2 linked regions of the Rhinolophus ferrumequinum genome follow. The protein of the gene in region 2 purifies or fractionates together with the protein of the main gene of each other region. This does not show direct contact. Links are inferred from orthologs where the notes say so. Each region holds a gene or a part of one and is shown on either strand. Other genes may lie near its edges.

What was found. The genes of interacting proteins can lie anywhere in the genome.
Region 1: the proteins of RBM8A (region 2) and UPF3A purify together in Homo sapiens (co-immunoprecipitation; 4 studies listed by BioGRID and IntAct, with this or other methods). This does not show direct contact. The link is inferred for Rhinolophus ferrumequinum from reciprocal best matches to the Homo sapiens genes RBM8A and UPF3A.

Annotation. Positions count from the first base shown.
Region 1 is NC_046287.1:56,480,562-56,488,318, forward strand, and holds the start of UPF3A (regulator of nonsense transcripts 3A), read left to right. Parts: upstream 1-4,668; 5' UTR 4,669-4,721; coding exon 4,722-4,925; intron 4,926-6,214; coding exon 6,215-6,321; intron 6,322-7,757. UniProt on the Homo sapiens protein: Involved in nonsense-mediated decay (NMD) of mRNAs containing premature stop codons by associating with the nuclear exon junction complex (EJC) and serving as link between the EJC core and NMD machinery.
Region 2 is NC_046305.1:50,159,124-50,165,594, reverse strand, and holds RBM8A (RNA-binding protein 8A), read left to right. Parts: upstream 1-4,111; 5' UTR 4,112-4,190; coding exon 4,191-4,257; intron 4,258-4,530; coding exon 4,531-4,590; intron 4,591-4,716; coding exon 4,717-4,794; intron 4,795-4,967; coding exon 4,968-5,104; intron 5,105-5,476; coding exon 5,477-5,613; intron 5,614-5,723; coding exon 5,724-5,769; 3' UTR 5,770-5,928; downstream 5,929-6,471.

The DNA.
Region 1 (7,757 bases), on a different chromosome or scaffold from region 2:
ATATGTATATTACATATTCATCTGTTGATGGACACTTGAGTTGTTTCCACCTTTTGGTTATTGTGAATAATCCTGCTAGGAACATGGGTGTATAAATATCTGTGTCCCTGTTTTGAGTTCTTTGGGTATATACCTAGGAGTGGAATTGTTTTGTCATGTGATAATTCTGTGCTTAACTCTTTGAGAAACTGGCAAACTTTATTCATGTGGCTGCACCATTTTACATTTCCCACCACCAAGCACAAGGGTTTCAATTTCTCTGCACCCTTACCAAAGCTTTTTCCTGTTCTTTTTAATTTTATTCTGTGCTTATTATCATTTATTTATCTTTTTGGACAAATGTCTATTCAAGTCTTTTGCCCATTTTGAAATTGGGCTATCTTTCTGTGGTTGAGTTGTAGGCGTTCTTTTACAGATTTTGGATGTTAAACCCTTACCAGATACATGTTTTACACATATTTTCTCCCATTCTTTGGGTTGTCTATTCACTCTCTTGATAGTGTCCTTTCATACACAAAAGGTTTTAATTTAATGAAGTCCAGTTTATCTAGTTTTTCTTTTGTTGACTGCTTTCGGTGTCATATTTATGTAACTATTGCCAAAGCCAAGGTTATGCAGATTTTTACTTATGTTTTCTTATAAGATTTTTAAAAAAATAATTTTAGCTCTTAGTTGTCGGTCTTTGATCCATTTTGAGTTAATTTTTGTAAATGTAAGTTAAAGGTCCAACTTCATTCTTTTGCATGTGGATATTCAGTTTTCCCAGCACCATTTCTTGAAGAGACTGTCCTTTCCCAGTTGAATAATCTTGGCACCCATGTCAAAAAATAAGAGAGTTTATTTCTGGGCTCTGAATTCTATTCCATTGGTCCATATGTATATCCTTTATGTTAGTATCACACTGTTTTGATTGCTGTAACTTTGTAGAAAGTTTTGAAATTGGGAAGTGTGAGTCCTCCAAACGTAATCTTTTACAAGATTGTTTTGGATATTGTGAGTCCCTTGAATTTTCATATGAATTTTAGGGTAGTTTTTTCCATTTCTGGGGGAGGGGGAAGCCATTGGGATTTTGATAGGGATTTTACTGAATTTTTATGACTTAATATTATGTCGTCTAATCCATGAACAGGATGTCTTTCCATTTATTTATGTCTTTAATTTCTTTCATTGTTTTGTAGTTTTCATTTACAAGTCTTTCACCTCCTTGGTTAAATTTATTCCTCAGTATTCTTTTGGATATTATTGTAAATAGAATTGTTTTTTTAGTTTCCTTTTTGGATTGTTCATTCCTAGTGAATAGAAATACAACTGATTTTTGTATATTGACTTTGTATCCTGAATGTATTTATTAGCTTTAACATTGTGCGTGTGTTTGTGTGTGTGTGTGTGTGTGTGTGTGTGTGTGTACGTTGTATTATTTAGAGTTTTCTCAATAATAGGATCATGTCATCTACGAATAGAGAGAGTTTTATTTCTTCCTTCCAATTTGGATTCATTTCATTTCTTTTCTTTGCGTAACTGCTCTGGCTAGGATTCCACTATTGTTTTGAATAGAAGTGGCAAAAGTAGGCATTCTCGTCTAATTCCTGATCATATAGAGAAAGCTTTCAGTTTTCACCATTGAGTATGACGATAGCTGTGAGTTTTTCAGATACCCTTTGTGGTGTTAGAAAAGTTCCCTTTCTTCATAATATACTGAGTGTGTGGTGGCGTTTTGTTTGTTTGTTTGTTTGTTTTTAATCAGGAAAGGGTGCAGATTTTATCAAATGCTTTGTTTTTGATCAGTTGAGATGGTCAGGTGTAATGAGTTCTAGATTTTCAGGTCTGTTCAAGGAAAAGACATGACCATGAGGTGGCAGTAGCACATATGCTTTGTTTTTGATCAGTTGAGATGGTCAGGTGTAATGAGTTCTAGATTTTCAGGTCTGTTCAAGGAAAAGACATGACCATGAGGTGGCAGTAGCACATTTTGTTTGGGGTAGCTTTCTTTAAGCTGTGCTTTGACAAGTTGTAGGAGGGGGTAGCCCCTTCCAAAGACAACAGTGTGGGACCTCCACCCAGAAGGGGACCACGGCAAGGGAACTCCTGGGGGAGGGGAATCACAGAGGAGGTTCACATGTCTTGGTGATGTAGTAGTAGCAACATGGCAGTCTCTGCGTTAGAGAAATCCTCAGTGCAGCAGCAGCTTGGAGTCTTCTATAGCCTGGGGTTTTTCTTATTTATGCTAGTGGATGCTGTGTGTAGTATTGCCAGGTATGCAGAACAGGCAGGCTCTAATTGGCTAAAGATATATTGTTTGGGCTATATTTAAAATAATTGCAAGTGTAAAAATTTGATTTGGTGCTGGTGGACTGGAGCTAACCATTCCAGCCCGCTGTGAAGTAAACAACATAGAGAGCAGTATACAAGAGCCATCTTTGGTTCATTTATATAACATCTTGCAGGTTTTTTTCCCTTCATTCTATTAATGTTGTATATTACATTGACTTTTTGTGTATTGAACCACCCTTACAATTCTGGGATAAATCCTACATGGTCATGGTGTATGATCCTTTTAATATAATGCTGAATTTAATTTGCTAATATTTTGTTGAGATGTTTATATTCATTAGAGATATTGGTCTGTAGTTTTCTTGTAGTATCTTTGGCTTTGGTATCGGGGTAATACTGGCCTCATAGAATGAATTAGGCAGTGTCCCTCCTTTTCAATTGTTTAGAAATGTTTGAGAATTGGTGGTAATTCTTTAAATGTTTGGTAAACTTCACCACTGAGGTCATCTTGTCCTGGGCCTTTCTAATATATGTTTGGAGGTTTTTGATTACTAATACTACCTCCTTACTTGTTATAGCTATTTCTTCTTGAGTCAGTTTTGGTAATTTGTATGTATCTAGGAGTTTGTCCATTTTATTTAGGTTATTCAATTTGTTGGTGTATAGTTGTTCATACTATCCTGTTATAATCCTTTTTATTTTTCTAAAGTCAGTAACAATTTCCCTTCTATGATTTTAGTAATTTGAGTCTCTTGTCTCTTCTTTACTTTTCTTAGTCAATCTGGCTAAAGGTTTGTTAATTTTGTATACCTTTTCAAAGAACCAACTTTTGATTTTGTTGACTTTCTCTGTTAATTTTCTAGTCTTTTTTTCATTTCCACTCTAATCTTTATTATTTCCTTCCTTCTGCTACCTTTGGGTTAAGTTCTGGTGTTATTTTTCTAGCTCCTATAAGGTATGCAGTTAGGTTATTGAATTAAGATTTTTTTTTTTTTTAACATAGGCCTTTACAGCTGTAAATTTCCTTCTGAGCACTGTTTTTGCTTCAACCTATAAGTTTTGGTATGTTGTGTTTTCATTTTCATTTGTCTTATTTTCTAATTTTTCTCATGATTTTGTACCCATTGGCCGTTTGAGTGTGTTGTTTAATTTCCACATTTTGTGAGTTTTCGTTTCATTCCATTGTGGTTGGAAAGGATACTTGGTGTGATTTCAATCTTTCTAAGTGTATTAAGACTTATCTTGTGGCCTAATTTGTGCTCCATCCTGCAGAAAGTGCCCTATTTGCTTGAGAAGTATATTCTGCTTTTGTTGGGTGGAGTGACTCCCTTGATCTCTTAATGCCTCACTTACTCCATTTTCTGGTTTCTTTTTTGATTTCTACTTGAAATTCTTGGGATAAAGGTGCTGTGAATAAAATGTGGCCAACATGCATAAAGAAAAGTGAGAAAGTATAAAATATAGCATTTAAAAACGAAAAACTTTCATCTATGTTATTCTAACCAAGTGTCACTGCCTGCATGTTTGTAAAAGAAAAGTATACAAATGTAAATCTGGCTTGGTTGCTGTTCCATTGAGAGCCCCAAAAAGCTGAGTAAAAATCGTATTGGAAAACCTTCTGAAGGCCCTGTTTTGTGGGTGCCGTGGGTCTATTAGTTACTCTAACCCAGCCTGTGATGCGTAGTCAGCGTTGACACCTGAGCGCTTGAACCTTCCACGCTGGCCAATTTCTGCTCTCAATTCTGGTACATTTATTCTATTCCGAATAGCAAAGCCATGTAGCCATTTGTGCTGTTTGTCAATTGGTTGATTTTTCTTGAGTACAATTACTATTCTGTTGAAACTTTCAGACTCCTTTGGAAAAGAATAGCTGTAAATAGTTTATGAAGCGCGTGAATGTAATTCTCAGGAATGTTTAGCTAAAGGACCAGCTCTCCTCCGTGGGAAAGTTTCAGCCCTTCAGAGTTTTATTAAAGGCTCCTTCTGGAGCCAAACGTCCTCTGGTGCTGAATTTCCCGCTGATCTCCAAGGCCTTGGAACCCTCCTTCGTCCCAAGACTCTACGAAGTCCGGGCTGCAGGAGAGTGCGGGCAGTCTCGACATCTCAACCACCCAGACCGCTGCTTCGGTTGACCACACAATAGAGCGCTGGTCGGAGGTGCGGGTCCAGGGGCACCCCGTGTACCGGGACACCAGACTCCAGGCTTGGGATCCGGGCCCAGTCCGACAGCCCCTGTTTCCCGGGTGTCTCCAACCCCGTGAGAGGGGCGGGCTCGGAGGTCGTGGGCCAGAACCGGACGTGGGTAACAGGGACCGTGGCAGGGGGAAGGAGGGAGGGGCGGGCGGCATCTGAACCAGGGGGTGGGGGTGGCAGTGGGGGCGGCGGCATTCCAGTTCTCGCGAAGTTTAGGCCGGGGCGGGAGGCGGCGGCGACTCTGCGGCGGGAGCGGAATGCGCTCGGAAAGGGAGTGTGCCGGAGGCCCCGGGGCGGCCGTTGCTGCGCGGGGCCAGAGCTGGAGGGAGAAGCCGTCGGCTGCGGAAGTTCAGTTCCGCCGAGAGTCGCCGCGGCGAGAGCCAGCATCGCCGCTGGCTTTGTCCTCCAGCTGTGGGAGCAGCACAGGCAAACCTCGCGAGAAGAGGACAGTCCTGAGCAAGGTGGGTGTGGGACAAGGAGCGGGGGCGGGGTGAGGACGGGGCGATGCAAGCAAACTTCGCGAAAGGAGGAACGTGCTTCGCAGGATAGAGCGGAGCGAGAACGGGTTGTGCGTGAAACCCCGGAGGAGAGGAGCTGAGTCCTAGGCAGGACCCGGGGATGCGAGGGCAGGAGTGGGGTGGGCTGAGAGGTGCCGGCAAACCTCGCCAGAGAAGGAGGGATTTCCGCGAGCCGAGGCGGGACGAGGACGGGGTGGTACGAGCAAACGTCTGGAGAAGAGATTGGTCCAGACCGAGAGGGGGAGGCGGGGCGAGTGGAAGTGCGGGGTGGTGATCAGGAGAGAGAGGGAGTGGGCGAGGCCAAGGGGTGGAGTGGCAGTGGAGGGGGGGAGACCAAGGGGGGTGACCAAGGGTGGTGCGTTCCGTGGGTGGGTGGGTGGTGTCCAGAGCTGGGCTGCTGGGCGGAGTCGGGGCGGGGCCGCTAGCGGGGGAATCAGCACCGCGGACAGCGGCCGGGCAGCGCTGCGGCGAGCAACTCTTACCGCCTGAGACAAGAGTTTTCAGCACCCTCTGAAACGTTAGTTCTTTATGGATTGGGAAGGAAGAAAAGTCTTTTCAGCGTGTAGAGCTGAGACACTGGGCTCACCAGCGAGGGGCAGTAGCTGTCCACAGTGCTTTGGACCACGGCCTGAGGGGGCACGAAAGGGGAACGGCGGCTCGCCAAAGGTCCTTTCCAGTATAGTGAAGCCAAGAGAGAGAGCCTGGAAAGCTTGGTGGCGCGGTGGGTGAGGACCCGCGATGTGGACACTGTGGACCGGAGGCGAAAGGTGTCCAGTGCAGGCGGAGTTCCTCTTGGCAGAACCAGCAAATACACCGTTGGTTTGCTACTGTTGGTAACAAAAATTCCAACATACATACATTCCCTGCGTAGATCTTACCTTCTACTGTGGGTTATCATGCAGAGAGAATGCAGGAGCTGTTATTTTTCACTGGGGGCACAGACAGTACGTGTCACGTGAAGTGTTGTTTGGTAGTAATGACATGATTGCATGAAAAAGAACTGTTAAGCTCAGCCTTTTCTGACCTCACTGATCCCTTCTCAATTATTCAACTCCCATTAACCTTTTGACAGCCATGTTGTCCATATATGTGTTCCTTAACTGTTCCTAAAATGTGTGCTTTTGAAGGTTTATATTTTCCTTTGAGCATACACATAGGTCACCAAGCATTGAAATAATTGAAGGTTAATACAGTAAGAGTGAAACAAAACCCAGCCAGCCTCCTTTCCCCAGGTGGTGATCCGGCGCCTTCCTCCCAGCCTCACCAAAGAGCAGCTGGAAGAGCAGCTACACCCGCTGCCTGCACACGATTACTTTGAGTTCTTTACTGCAGATCTCAGGTGAGCAGCTGTTTACCAACATTAAGAAGCTGACAGGGTCGGACAGGTGGCTCAGTTGGTTAGAGCGCGAGCTCCAGGCAATGGGGCTGCCAGTTCAATTCCCACATTGAGGAGCCAGCAAGCTATGCCCTCCTCAACTAGAATGAAGTCAGTGAGGTGCTGCTCAGCTCCTGGGTGGCCAGATGGCTCAGTTGGTTGGAGCGCTGGCTCTCAACCACAAGGTTGCTGGTTCAACTCCCGCAAGGGATGGTGGGCTGTGCCCCCTGCAACTAACAGTGGCAACTGGACCTGGAGCTGAGCTGTGCCCTCCACAAATAAGATTGAAAGGACAACAATTTGACTTGGAAAAGTCCTGGAGATACACACTGTTCCCCAATAAAGTCCTGTTTCCCTTCCCCAATAATAAAGCTGAGAGACATTGTCACTTGCTGGCAAATTATTACAGGTAATAGAAGCCATCTCCACTTCCATCTTATTTCCCACATGTACCGAGAAATTAGTGCAGACCTTTATTTCTGCAAGTTATTTCTAAGTAGGCAGATCATTAAATTCCTGTAAAATAGATTTAAAATATGCCTCTACTAGCACCACCGTAGTCTAAAAAGAAACACATACCATTAACAACATACTATTTCCTTATTGTATTTTGCACATCAATAAAACTTATTTCATAAAACTTTTTAAAGTAAATTGTATTGAGATATAAAAAAGAGTGAATATAATGGATATATAACTCATGAATTTTCACAAATGAACACGCCCATGTAACTTAACACCAGATAAAGAAACAGAATATTCCAGACCCTAGAAGCCCCTTGTACTCCCTTCCATCACTAACACCCAGACCCCACACCGCCCCTCTCAAGTTGTATCTTTTTTAATTCCCTTTTACAGCTTTGTAGTTAGATGACTCTGACAAAACTTCTTACTTCCAAATCTTTTCATTAACAGAGAGAGCCAACCTCAGGTTAGACCTTCAACAGGTGACAGACAGTTCATCAGTGATTTAGTGATTTTCACTATGTTTGTATCATTCTTTATTATCATTATTATTCTTTTTATCTTCAATATCATGAGTTCTCATTTATGGTAGCCAAATAAACTTTCCTTTTGAATAAATACATTTAAGTAAAAAATGTCAGTCCATTCAACAAAAAAATACCACTAACAGGTAAATACAGATATGGTTAAAAAAAACACATAAAGATGATTTTCAAATGACTAAAGTTTAGGAAAACTGGTACAGTTAAAGGAGGACAGATACTGGACTAACAGAGTGACTCAGATTGGAATCCTAGTCCCACCTTTTAACTAACTGCACTCCCTGCAAGTATCTAGTTTCTCTGAGCCTCAGTGTTCTCATCTGTGAAATGGGGTTGAAAGTTCCTGCCAATGAAAGAAATTGGTAGGTCAGAGATATCAGAGAAAAGCTTAGT
Region 2 (6,471 bases):
TGACTCCTATCGGTCCTTCATTTTGAGGCTTCTTTACTTTATTATTTGGAAGGAAGTGGAGATACGGTTTCTTGTTTTTAAAGTATTCCTGAGAAAGTGCCCAGGAACAAGAGGAAGTATAAACACAATCTGTAGGGGATTATCACCTAAATTGCATCTGGGGCAGAGATACCATACCGGTAGTCCAGATGCCTGGACGTACTCTACACTACAGAAGGGGTCAGGGTTGAAGTTGCTTGTTTTCAGTATTTCACTTTTCCCTCCTCTTCCTCCCCTGCTCACACAGCTTAGTTAAGCCCTGTATTTAGACCTTCCTGCCTGCAGAGATTGATAAAAGGTAAAACCTATTTCCCTCTTCTCTCTCCTCCCATTATTTTGTTCTTTGGAAAAATGACCTATCCTATTTGGAGAGGACCATGTTCCTCTCTCTGCCATGAAGTTGCTGCTGTCTACTACCTTAGATTCACATTTGTTTTCTCTCCTCTTCTTCCACACTATTAAAGCATGAGTAGATCAGGAAAATCAGAGAAGACTTTGGCATTATGGCACTTCCTAATTGGAACCTTGGGAGACTGCAGGAAGGGAAAGAGAATCAATAATCAGCTATCAGGGATTGCTTTTTAATACCGTTCTCTCCGCCCACCTCTCTCCTGGGTGGAATAGGAGAGATGGGATCTGGAGAACAGCTAAAGCATTCACCTTTGGGAGTATTTTTTGTAGGTCTTCTAAGGTATAATTCCCCCTTGTTTCTGTAGTCTCCTTTATACTATAGTTCAGCTCAATGCACTTTCTAAACTGAACTTGGGAAGTATAATGTGCTTACAATTAGACTTCCCATTTAACAGTTATACACTTTGCTTTCAGAAATAGGTTAGGAAACAGGCCACAGTTTGTTCTTTTGGATCAGACAGGGACAAGATGGAAGTCAGCTTTCTTGCGTTTGAAATCATCTTGGTGACCAGTACATATGGGATCAGAGGTAAGGACTCTAGCAACAATTGTTACTAGTTCTTGAAAGGGACTTCCTTGAATTCTCCACACCCCTTCTCTCTGTTCCATGAAGCACATGTAGGGTTGGAGCAGAGGCTCCTACATTTAAAAATAGGTGTGTCTATTCAGTTTTTATTGATATTTATAATCTGGAAATCACAAACCCTCATTTCTCCTATGCTCCTTTCTTGGGGAAGTGTTAAGGGGTGTGAGTTGTGGGAAGAACTTGTCCTCGTACTTCCTGGATTTGTTTTTCTAGAATACCAACAAGTAAGATCTCAAAGGACTTGAGAAAAATTGTTCCCTGATCTGTACACTTTTGCTGTTAAAGATTTTACTTATCTTTTTAGTACTTTCTATGTATTTTATATGTATAATTTTATACAATTAAAAATAGATTTTTGTCTAGTGAGCCAGATTGACTCTTTCTTGAGACCTATGTATCAGAGGAGCTCGAAAATAACCCTTTCTCTTACATATAGGTATACTAAAAAAGAATTTTTATTAGTATTTTTTTGGGTGGTAGAAATAAAATTGTACTGCTGGGGGAAGACATTTTGCCTCTCCATTTCCAGACATTTGAGGAGCCTAGATTTTGTCTTTAATCCTTTCTCCTTGAGCTCTACACAATATCACTGGCAATCTCACCCATCATGGTGGTCTAAACTGTATCATACATGACTCTCAAATCTATTTCTTCCACCCCAACCTATTTTGAGTCTTAACATCTATATTTCCATATATTGAACATCACCACCTGAATATAACAGAAGCTCTGTGAACTCACATATCCAAAATAAAATCCAATTCTCCATACATGCTCCTGATTCCCCAGATCTGTTATTGGAATTATTATCTACCCAGTTACCTAAGCTAGAACCCCAGATCCATCTTTAACTCTTCCCTAGCATCATCTAATAAGCCACTTACTGTTGCATTTACCTCCTGTGTAAACATTCTAATCTGTTTTGTCTATATTTATTGCCTTAATTCAGTCCTTTATCATCTCTGGGCTGGACCACTGCAATAGTTTCCTAACTAGTCTCTGCCTTCATTTTTAACATCCTCCACATTACTGTCAGATTTCTTTCTAAAATACTTACGACTGTACCACTCCTTTGCTTAAATAATCACTTAGCTATCTTCACCTTTAGCAGTATTTCCCAAAGTTTTATATATGAACCCTTACTATTACCTGTGATGACTTTGGGTGGTAGATGGGCAAACATTTTTCATCTTTACTAGTTACGTTTTTATCTGAATTTGTAGTAAAAAACATAGGTTTTCCACATATGATAGTGATATCTAAATTTAGTGTAAATTTGTTTAAAAAGTCAGTCTATTTAAGGAAAAATGCTAATAAAAATAGAATAAGGCCCATTTACAAATGTTAAAAATAATGAATATGCAAATACTTGAAGTAGGGAAATTTATTTCCTTCAGGATAAGTTCCAGAATCTTCAGCATTGGCCTTAAACTGTATTTCCAGCTTTATTTCCTAGTCACACAGCATCAAGCATACAGAATTTCTTGCTATTCTGATAATCATTAATTCAGTAAGTACCAAATGTCTACTTTGAGCCAGGCACTGTTCTAAACTTTGCGAATACAGTTGTAAATATGAGTCTCTTGACATAAGGATTACATTCTAATGGGAAAAACACACATTAAACAAATTAGAAAGTAAACAAGGTAATTAAGGATTCTGATTTAAGTTCCATGAAGGCATAAACAGAGTGAAGGATAGGATAGAGAAGACCCCTTTGGGTGACCATAGTATTTTAGGGAGACACAAAGGATGGGGTTGAACTAGCCATGTGAAGAGCTGGAGTAAGACCATCAGAAACAGAAAGCTGCATAAAGTCCTGCGATGGGAAACAGTGCAATACAACCGAGTTGAGGGCAAGTGTAGGGAGAGCGTAATGCATGAGAGGGAAGAATGGTGATGGAAGAGGTTGGAGACATAGGCAGGGCAGGCTGTGAGTTTGAACTTTATTCAAAGTGCAAAAATAATTCAAGGAAGGGTTTTTAATAGGGGGATGTGACCAACTAATTTTGAAGAAGATCCCGCTACCTACTGTGGAGAATAGATTAGTGTCTCCTGGTCTCAATACAACTACATTGACTGGAAAACTACCAAATCTTAAAGGCCCTGTTCAAACCGAAGCTGTCCCTTACATGGACTTCCCTTACCCCCAGTCCTATTAGGCACTTTCTTTGTACTGCCGGAGTCCTTTGTGATAGCAGTTATCACTTACAAATGTAATTATGATTGTTGATAATGCAATTATTTTTCCTTGTATTGCCAGCACCTCCTCTAATATTAGACACACGCATATACAGGCATGCATAACTGTTTGATTAAAAAATTAATAAGGGAATCTGCAGTCTACTATTGTTTAAGGCCTGTGTCAGGGTTCCAGAATTTGGGGACAATATGGGTTTTGCCTCTTCTCCTAGGTTTTTAAACATGAAATACCCGCATGCTCTCAAAAAAGCTAAAGCTCCTATTTTGTTTGAAGCCATGCCTTTTTTTTTTTTCCTTTAATTCCCAGAGGTGGTGGGAAGAGTTTGGGAGTTTAGCTTTTTTTTAAAAAAAGAAAAAGTTGGTTTATCTTTTTTCACCAATCCAATTTCAAGACAATTAGGTTTGTTAGTTTCTTTAAGAGAGAAATTCGGTGCCGTCACTGTGTGTTCCAGAAGCAGCTCTTGGAGCCAGCATTGCTGACTGAACCATTTTTTAACAATGCTTCCATCACAGATCCGGCTGCTCCCAGGAACAGGGTACAGGCCTGGAAGTTTTGAGAGAAAAAACTTTTATCAACTTCCATTTCCTAGTATGGGGTGAAAACAGACGGAAGGCAGCCATCTACTAAAGAAACTAGGCTGAGCTCCATCGTCAGTAGTTTTTCTCCAAGGCAGCCTTAAATAGGAGGAAGCCACCATCTCCGCCTACCCCTAGCTTGTCTCTCACGGCAACACTGTTTCCAGCTCACGACCTGCTCAAAATGGCTACAGGAACACTTCCGGCTCTTCCCGGACTAAGCCCGCCTCCAGGACGTATTTTCACCGCACCGATGGGCGGGACTTAGAGTAGGCTTTTGATTGGTTATCTTGACTGGCGACCTTTCCCCTCCGCGACAGTTTCCCGAGATGCTTAGTTCCTGAGCGGCACAGACGAGAATTAGAACGAAGGCAAGATGGCGGATGTGCTGGATCTTCACGAGGCCGGGGGCGAAGATTTCGCCATGGATGAGGATGGGGACGGTGAGGACGGTGGAGGCGGCTGCGGGAAGCGGGGAAGGTGCGACAGAAGGGCGTACTAGGAAAACAATTTCCATTCTTCCCGGCAGGGAGGGTGGGAGGCGGGGAACCGGGTTTCGGTTGGAGTGGAGACTCCGCCCCCTTCGGGGCAGAACCTGGGGGCGGGACTGGGAAGGGACTGGGATGGGAGGCGATGGGGGTCCGCTTTCAGATGTTGTCTTGGGAGAGAGACTATTGTGTTGTTTTTGTTACTTACTCTTTACTTATGGGGCGCAGAGAGCATCCACAAACTGAAGGAAAAAGCGAAGAAACGGAAGGGCCGCGGCTTTGGCTCCGGTGAGTGTTTGTGGGGAAAGGGGGGTCTAGAACGGCTAGAGCTACGGGTTTTGGAGTCCCCATTCTGATTCCTGGGGAACGGTGGGAGAAGGGATTTCCGGTGATCTCGTGTATGTTTCTTATTAGAAGAGGGGTCTCGAGCGCGGATGCGTGAGGATTATGACAGCGTGGAGCAGGATGGCGATGAACCTGGACCACAACGCTGTAAGTAACATGGAGCCTGTAGGTGTCTGTGTAGGAATGAGGGACTAATAAAGTAAAACCAGTAGGAAAGGGGTCAGAGATAGCTTAACCAGTCTCTGGAGTTCACACTCCTGTGATCTTGCTTGAAGTTTTTCTCTCATGGGCTCAAACAACCTCCCTCCTTTCCCCAACAGCTGTTGAAGGCTGGATTCTCTTTGTCACTGGAGTCCATGAAGAAGCCACGGAAGAAGACATCCATGACAAATTTGCAGAATATGGGGAAATAAAAAATATCCACCTCAACCTGGACAGGCGTACAGGATACCTGAAGGTATCCTAAGTTACACTCCATTGCCTCCCATGTTTGGTGTGGTTGGCCAAGAGCAAAGCTGAAATAAAATATCATTGGAAATTGATTTTGTTAGGAAAGAAACAGACAACATATTGTAAATACAGTAGGGATATACCGGGGTGCCAAAAACATGTATACACATGACTTGTATTCATCTTTTGTTATCGGTATATATTGAGTATTACAATTTTAACACAGTTTTTCCTTTCTTAAGATGTATATATATATTTTTTGGCACCCTCTGATATATATTCATTGTTTAAAGTTTATACACATGGACTGTCCTACTTGAGTAGAAAACAGCTCGGTGGAATAGGAGGGTTTTGATACCTGCCTTTCCACTTGCCCTAGGGCTATACTCTAGTTGAGTATGAAACATACAAGGAGGCCCAGGCTGCTATGGAAGGACTCAATGGCCAGGATTTGATGGGACAGCCAATCAGCGTGGACTGGTGTTTTGTTCGGGGTCCACCCAAGAGCAAGAGGAGGTAAAGTGGAGAGGGCACACACCGTCTTGGGGAAGGGAATATGAGTGAAATGGAATAAGGACATTGTATTGTGTCCCTCTGACGGACCTCCCTCCCTTCATTTTCCCTAGAGGTGGCCGAAGACGCAGCAGGAGTCCAGACCGGAGGCGTCGCTGACAGGTCCTGTGTTGTCCGGGTGTTCTCTCCAGAGATTCCAGCCTTGGAGACATAGGGCTGGGCTGGAACTCACTGTTTGTATTTAATCTCTTCCCTTATTGCTTGGTGGTTCTTGTGAGTTACAAATAAATGTCCCGTTCTTTTTTTCTACATTTAAAATTACTTTTCTGTTCTAACATTGGAAGCTCTGAAGTGCTATTTCCAACAAGGTAGTATGGGTCACTGTAAAGATACTTCTCCCAGTGACTGAATTCTGTGTGAATATCTACATTACACATAGTCTCAAGTCTCAAAGGGTCTAAGTAGAGACACTGCTTAGTATTTATTTTCCTTGGAAGTAAGAATAGGAAGAGCAGTGAGATGTTCTCATGATGTTAAAGAATAATTATTCTGTCCCTATATACTCTGTCCGGAGCAAATGGATGTTATAGGAATGTTTCTTTCATTTCTGCTGCTGTTGCTGCCACGTTTGTGTGTACTTCCATCTGTCTAAGGGTCTGAATGTCCCGTCGGGGAGTTCTTCCAGACCCTCCTTCCCTGGAGGAGTCTATGTTAAGTTCTTGGTGCCCTCTTCAGCATCCAAGCGCAAATGCCCCATGGAGGACAGAATCCAGAGCAGCATTGAGGACACCAAAGAGGAAAAGGATGTGGCTGAGGCCGGGAGGCACTGCAGTCAGCATGGCAGGAGAGATCCAGCAGGTA